Neurospora crassa OR74A: one gene and its partner. The protein of the gene in region 1 interacts with the protein of each later gene in a pairwise test. Links are inferred from orthologs where the notes say so. Each region holds a gene or a part of one and is shown in the gene's direction. Other genes may lie near its edges.

Evidence for each region.
Region 2: the proteins of cys-18 (region 1) and NCU04097 interact in binary tests that used the Saccharomyces cerevisiae proteins (3 or more experiments, as listed by UniProt). The link is inferred for Neurospora crassa OR74A from reciprocal best matches to the Saccharomyces cerevisiae genes SAH1 and CAF16.

What each region holds. Positions count from the first base shown.
Region 1 is NC_026504.1:1,317,593-1,321,508, reverse strand, and holds cys-18 (adenosylhomocysteinase), read left to right. Parts: upstream 1-1,068; 5' UTR 1,069-1,424; exon of another isoform or gene 1,425-1,493; 5' UTR 1,494-1,514; coding exon 1,515-2,851; intron 2,852-2,909; coding exon 2,910-2,922; 3' UTR 2,923-3,465; downstream 3,466-3,916. Other genes in the region: NCU07929 (eukaryotic translation initiation factor 3 subunit 3), read left to right, coding at 1-51. UniProt on the Saccharomyces cerevisiae protein: Adenosylhomocysteine is a competitive inhibitor of S-adenosyl-L-methionine-dependent methyl transferase reactions; therefore adenosylhomocysteinase may play a key role in the control of methylations via regulation of the intracellular concentration of adenosylhomocysteine.
Region 2 is NC_026505.1:4,815,734-4,819,570, forward strand, and holds NCU04097 (ABC transporter), read left to right. Parts: upstream 1-1,753; 5' UTR 1,754-2,056; coding exon 2,057-2,950; 3' UTR 2,951-3,323; downstream 3,324-3,837. Other genes in the region: prk-9 (serine/threonine-protein kinase 3), read left to right, coding at 1-65; NCU04098 (monothiol glutaredoxin-5), read right to left, coding at 3,399-3,586, 3,690-3,837.

The sequences.
Region 1 (3,916 bases):
AACATCACGGCCAAGATGTTCGCCGTTCGCGGCAACCTTCTCCCCGAGTAAAAGGGGCTACCAGGGGTTGTGGTGGTGTTTTTTGATGGGACGATAGAGGACGGTGGCCACGATATCTCAGCCGCATTTGGTTTTGGCGTTCCGGGTTGTCGGCGTGTTATTTACCTTGCAAGGTCTAGGGCAGGGTCGGCCATGCAGCCTACGTAAAGCGGGACGGGAGGGAGAGCTGCAATCACATCCAGTATCTTGTGGTGGCCTTGCTGATCTGACGTGGGGGAGGCATTGAGGCACTAGAGAAAACAAAAGGGATGCGTCCAAAAAGGCGATGAGGGACGCGTTGGACGAATTATCAGACATGAGATCCCCGTCAATCAAGCGATAAGCCGTTATCTTCTACTATGTTTAAGGGGCCAGCCTTTTTTTTCAGCTTTCCGTATATGTAATGAATTGCCTATAATCATATGGAGATGCCACGGCCCTGGATGGGAGGGTTTGGAGAAAGTCCGAAACTGAATTGTTAAAAAATGGGTCTCATCAATTCGGGGATGTGTCTAGCACTCTAGCTGGACATCTCAACGCCATGTCCGCGCTTCCCCCCCGTTTGCTGCTGCAGACGCTGACCAGGCGCTTTACTGCTTCCGTTGAGGTTGGCTTTCATGGGCACCAAACCTCATTCGGGTCCAGATACGACGATAACCGATAACAATTGTTGAACTCCCCAACCTCACCCGATGTCTTGGAAACGTCCAGTTCGGCCGAAACGAAAAGTGAATGAATGTCCGTCCTTGCCCATCCGCCCGCAAAACCCCACTATTTAGGCCGACGGCATCAGCGCTAAAAAGGCAAGCTGAAAGAGAACAACGTGGTGTCGAATTGGCGGCAGAAAGCACATTGCCATTTGCCGCGTCGACGACAACGGCTGGCAGGCAAAGGAGGGGCAAGCACTCGCATTGTGGTGGGGAATAAAGCTGAATTAGGACTAGCCTGCTTGTCTGATGCACACCGACAGAGCTGCTGGTTCGACAGATTTGCCCGCGGGGTTCTCATTTTTTTTTTCCCTAGTGTAGTGTAAACCCCGTCGACCCTTCCCCACTTCCTGCACGAAGCAGTTTTGGCTTCGTTTTGCTTGCCCGTCAGACCCGTGTCTGCCCTGCTGTTCCTCTCCGCCGCCGGCTGCCACTCTCAGTCAGTCAGGCAGTCAGGCTCTGCACATTCTGCTTGTGAGCTGTGTCATTGGATTCCGGGCCCTTTGATTTCCCCTTCGCTTCCCCTGCTCCCCCAGGGCCGTGTCCTCTTTTCTGCCGTGTGCCATCCGATATCCACTTTTCACCCCATCCCCTCAGTCCCTTCCTTTTAAATAAATCCATTGCTGTCCCCTTGCCAGGAAGAGTATTCTCACTTTTTGTCCATCCATCCCCCTCATCGTGAGTGCTCCTGCTCTCTCTCCTCCCTCCAAAACATCACCAATTCTAACCTGTACTCTCCATTCACAGATATCCCCATATCCACCCAACATGTCTGCCCCCGCCCACAAGTTCAAGGTCGCCGACCTTTCCCTCGCCGCCTTCGGCCGCAAGGAGATCGAGCTCGCTGAGAACGAGATGCCCGGTCTTATGGCTACTCGCAAGAAGTATGCCGCTGACCAGCCCCTCAAGGGCGCCCGCATTGCTGGCTGCCTTCACATGACCATCCAGACTGCCGTCCTCATCGAGACCCTCACTGCTCTCGGTGCCGAGGTCACCTGGTCTTCCTGCAACATCTTCTCCACCCAGGACCACGCCGCCGCTGCCATCGCCGCTGCCGGTGTCCCCGTCTTCGCCTGGAAGGGTGAGACCGAGGAGGAGTACCAGTGGTGCTTGGAGCAGCAGCTCATTGCCTTCAAGGACAACAAGAAGCTCAACCTCATCCTCGACGACGGTGGTGACCTTACCCACCTCGTCCACACCAAGTACCCCGAGATGCTCGAGGACTGCTTCGGTGTCTCTGAGGAGACCACCACCGGTGTCCACCACCTTTACCGCATGCTCAAGGAGGGCAAGCTCCTTGTCCCCGCCATCAACGTCAACGACTCCGTCACCAAGTCCAAGTTCGACAACCTCTACGGCTGCCGTGAGTCCCTCGTCGACGGTATCAAGCGCGCCACCGATGTCATGATTGCTGGCAAGATCGCTGTCGTCGCCGGTTTCGGTGATGTCGGCAAGGGCTGCGCCATGGCCCTCTCCGGCATGGGTGCCCGCGTCATTGTCACTGAGGTCGACCCCATCAACGCCCTCCAGGCTGCCATGGCCGGCTACCAGGTCACCACCATGGAGAAGGCTGCTCCTCTTGGTCAGATCTTCGTCACCACCACCGGCTGCCGTGACATTCTCGTCGGCAAGCACTTCGAGGTCATGCCCAACGACGCCATTGTCTGCAACATTGGTCACTTCGATGTCGAGATCGACGTCGCGTGGCTCAAGGCCAACGCTGCTTCCGTCCAGAACATCAAGCCCCAGGTTGACCGTTTCCTCATGAAGAACGGCCGCCACATCATCCTCCTTGCTGAGGGTCGTCTTGTCAACCTTGGCTGCGCCACTGGCCACTCCTCTTTCGTCATGTCCTGCTCTTTCACCAACCAGGTCCTTGCTCAGATCATGCTTTACAAGGCCAACGACGAGGCTTTCTCCAACAAGTACGTCGAGTTCGGCAAGTCCGGCAAGCTCGAGAAGAAGGTCTACGTCCTTCCCAAGATCCTCGACGAGGAGGTTGCTCGTCTCCACCTCGACCACTGCAACGTCGAGCTTACCCAGCTCTCTGACGTCCAGGCTGAGTACCTCGGCCTCGCCACTGAGGGTCCCTACAAGAGCGACCAGTATGTTACTTCCTGTCCTTTCTGGTGCCTGATGAATGATATGCTAACCAAGTCACAGCTACCGCTACTAATTTCCCTTTCAATACCATATATCCACCCTCTCCTGTCGTATTTGGCTAGGATAGGGGAGGTAATTTACTGAGGATCTCCTTCAACACTTTGGGTTATGGACAAAACATCTCTCAGCGGCATGTTTGGGATTTCCACAAAGCATCGTTTTCAACAGGCATGATTTGCATGACAAAACCGGGTTCAATATGGGGGTCTTTCACTAGGGGTTTTTCAAAACGGTATATTAGGGATGGTTCGGGTACAAATTTTCAACAAAAGTACGGCGTTGGCTTTGGCACATGATATCCCATGACACACCCTCGAGGCATTTGAGACGGGTGTGTTTTCGAAACGTAAGTAGCTGGTTGCTGCACCTGATGAAGTGCAAGAAGACGATAAAGAGAGGAAGGCTATACCCAAAGGCCCGTCAACCGAGGCCTGGGAACAATTAGACTACGGAATAGAGAAAGACACAGTCTTTTTTGGGCATGTCTTTTTGTGGTACACCAAAGAAGCCACCGAAGTTAATAATATGTGGTTATGGCTCACACTTTCCCTTCCTGCTACGCGATTCATGTCTGATTTTCGTGCGTCTCTTGTGTTGTATTTGTCCCTCTCAAGGAAGTAGTGGTACGACGAACGGCCGCAAAAGCCACACGAGTAAGTCTGGCTCTCCAATCATCCAAAGTAGCATCACGTTTGTCTTCTTTTCGCCCGCCCGCGAATGGACACTTCCCACTCCAACATATCGTGATCTTGCATATCGTAGTTGGTTTGGCTCAACCATTCGGCGTCCGTTCCGTTCCATTGCACGGAAACTGCATTGCCGCCTTTTATATACCTATCTACTACCTCTAGTTGCCTGCAACGGGACCAGGCAGCGTGCCTCCCTACTGAGAATGTGTTCTGCATACAACATCTTTCCAACCTGTGTCTAGGGGAACTTGCTATCAGCCCAGCCATTGGGTTATGATGTCGCCTACGACCCCACTATGCCTCTCTTGGTAGCAGTCA
Region 2 (3,837 bases), on another chromosome or scaffold:
ATTTGCTGTATGCGAGGTGGACGGATGGATTGCAGCATCGGTGGGGACCCGTTGCGGGATCTTAGTGAGGCGATGAAAAGGCCTGGGTCGGGAAGTGAAGAGAGGTGAAGAGGAGGTAAAGAGGCGAGCAAAACGACCATTAAGAGTGCGCAAAGCCAAACACTCGGCTCAAGATGAGGGGAAGAGCAGAGGAAAGGGGGAGAAGAGATACCATTATTTTCTTGTTCGTGTCTTATTATTATTGTCTGAACTCTTTTTTTTTCCCCTCGGTTGTGGTGGACAGATGGATTACGAGCGTCATTCAGCATTTGATCATATGTCTTTTTTTTTTTTTTTTTTTTTTTTTTTTTTTTTTTTTTTTTTTTTTTTTTTTTTTTTTTTTTGCACAGCATTGGTTGGTGGCCAAGCATAAAAGGAAGAGAGACGACGAAAGGGAAAGAGCTTTTTTCTTTTCTTTCTCATCATATGTTCCTCTTGCGGCACGGCATATTCCTTTTTTTTTCATTCTACTTCACTTCTTTCTTGCTTATTACGCAACTGGCTGGGGCTTTGTTTTCTGTTCTGTTCAAGGGATACCAATTATCGTTTTACATCATTCGGGGTTTAAAAGGGAAGAATGGAGAGAGAGAAACCGGTTCTGGAACGTGGAACCTGAGGATAGTGGCTGCGGCGGCGGTTAGGTTAGATAGGGGGCGGTTGGTTGGAACGGTAGGATGGGTGATTTATTCGAGTTGGGTGACTGATCACCAACTTAAACTTCTACCATGGGCCGCCCCGATTGGTGAATCAGGGGAGCAAAGAATCAAATGATACAAATCAACGAAAGGGATTTCGGGTTGTTGATACATTCATCTTTACATCCTTCACTTGCATGGCAGTAATTCTGGTGTAGTCGATGGGTCAATATACATCCTGTATCGCCAAACCGTATTCCTGCGTCTCTTCGGCTCTGTTTTCTTCCTTAGCAAGGGGGTTGAGGATGTCTACAAACCGCCAAGTGACAGACAACAAAATACTTGCAAATGGCAGTAATGGGATTTCTGTCCGTCTTACGCAGTATGGGTTCGTGTCTCAGAACAACCGATTTCCCCCATGTGTTGCCATGGTGATCGATGCAGCAACTGCATTTGTGGATCCCGGGGATTGGAGCGGGTGCTGTACAGTACTGCTACCCTCGGTCACGTCCCATCGAAAGCCTCCGAGCCTTCGTATTGTATCTTTTGACATTCTTTCCGGTCACTCTGTGTTGTTAAAGGAGGGTGAGTTGAGGTGAGTCAGCACTAACACCATACCTTTGGTTTCCGTTTTAGGAAGGTGTTGGTGGTTTCACATTTTTCCGGTTTGTATATTTAGTGAATTTGAATCACCGACCACCTGGTTCCTTGCATGGATTCCTTGCAACAGATGCCGAAGTTGAACGATGTTTGTTCCGGTAGTAGGTAATAGTGAGACATGATGAGGAAAAGTGTTTGGAACTATTCCCGGTTTTCGGACGCAAGACATAGGCCTATCTAAGACACCAAGGTGGAGAGGTGTTTTGATCGGGAACGTTCTGCTTTCTCTCTCTTCGCACATTATTGGAGTTGAAGAATTGAATCGCCATGTGGACTCAAAACGGCCCTTGTTGCGTACTTGCGTCATCAGGTACCGCCCCGCAAAACTTTCCAGGGGGGAGGGCGGATTGAAACGACAGACCTTCTGGCCCAACATCGCCGAGCTCTCTAAACTGTCAGGTGCAAGTGGGAACTGTTCCGTTTTTCGCATCACCCAACATTTGCCGCTTGCCGCTTGCCGCTATCACCCCCTCATTCCATCCATTTTCCCCCTCACTCCCCAAATCAAGTTCGATTTTTTTTTTTTCCCTTCCCACCAACACCATAGTACATCCCTTCACATTGTCAACAACACGAACTTAAGGGTAAACACAGTGGAAAGAGCCAACCAGAAACCATATCTCTCACTCGAGAGAGCCAACATAACAAACCTTCCACCAACAACCCAACCCGTTCATCGAACCATCAGCCACACGCACACAAGAAAAAAAAAAAAAAAAACAATGGCCTCCCAACCAGCCCCCCCAACAGTGGAAACCTTCAACCTCACCTACAGCTTTCCCGACCGCTCCAACGGCGTCTCGGACATTACCCTCTCCCTCCCGCCTCGCTCACGCACGCTCCTGATTGGCGCCAACGGTGCCGGCAAAACCACCTTGCTTCGCCTGTTGGCCGGCAAGCGTCTCGCGCCCGCCAACACCATCAAAGTGTCGGGCGTTGACCCGTTCAAGGAAGGTCTGGAGGGCGTCACCTACTTGGGGTTGGAATGGGTCCTCAACGCGATTGTGCGCACGGACATTGGTGTCGTTGAGCTGCTGCGGTCAGTGGGCGGCGATGCTTATCCCGAGAGAAGGGATGAATTGGTGTCGGTGCTGGATATCGACACCAACTGGCGAATGCACGCCGTGTCGGACGGAGAACGCCGCAGGGTGCAGCTGGCAATGGGCTTGATCCGGCCCTGGACGGTGCTGTTGCTGGACGAAATCACCGTCGACTTGGATGTCTGGTCCCGGGCGCAGTTTCTAGGGTGGCTGAGACGGGAGACGGAGACGAGAGAGTGCACGGTTGTGTACGCGACGCACATCCTGGACAACTTGGCCAGTTGGCCGACGCACCTGGTGCACATGCACTTGGGCACTGTGAAGGGGTGGGGGAAGGCGGAGGAGATGTTGAAGGAGGTCGAGGATGGGAAGAATGTGATTGAAGGCGTGACGGGAAATAGTAGGCTGGGAGAGCTGGTGTTGAGGTGGTTGAGGGATGATTTGAAGGAGAGAGGGCCGAGAAGCCAGCACAGGAGGGGACCGGAGGGGTTGAGTTATAACAGCCCGGGCTTGGGCGGTTATGGGTTGGAGGCGAAGACGAATCAACAGGCTACGGATGGGCCTAGCTGCAACTGAGATGGGGACAGTAACTGAAAGGAGGGGGGAGGAGAAGAGAGAGTTCAACATGGCTGAGGGGTTTGTTTTGTTTTGTGTTTTTCTGTTTTCTTTGTGTGCATGAGGAAAAGGGAGCTTTAACATGATACCCAGGCGGCATTTAACATGGCGTTTTCAACACATCATAGACGGGTATAGGTCGAGATACTTTTGAGGGAATCTGTCTCACATGTACTTTACATGTCATCATCTGCTGTTATCTGGTTTCCCAATGTCCTGATGAATTTCCAGAGAAGCACTTCCACGTCGCTTTTCAGTATTGCAAAGAGTAAACACATATCGTACAGTCTAGGCATGCGATCCCAATCGTCTATCAAATGGTATCAGTACAAGTACAATGGCTTCATGAATCACTCATTTCCTCCACGCATAGCCAAAAGCTGCATCCGCATCCGCCGCTTCATTTCTTTTACTCCTTCTTCTCGGTCTGCTCCTCAGCAGCACCCTCCTCGCCCTTGACCAAAACATCCTTCTCTTCGAGAAGCTTGGCAAGCTCGCCGTTCTGGTGCATCGAGACAATGATATCGCAACCGCCGACGAACTCCTTGTCGATGTAAAGCTGAGGAATGGTGGGCCAGTCGCTGTACTCCTTGATGCCTATATATGCATGATGATGCGCGGTGCACGCCCACTTGTGTCAGCATTTCTGTCCTTGTCTACTTTTCCCATTTTTCTTGTCCCAACTGGTTGTGTAACATACCCTGCCTCAACTCGGCATCCTCCAAAACGTTAAAAGCAGCAAACTTGTTGGGATCAACGCCCTGCAGACCCAGAACCTGGATGCTGGCGCGCGAGAAGCCGCACTGGGGGGTTTCGGGGGTGCCCTTCATGAAGAGGACGACGGGCGC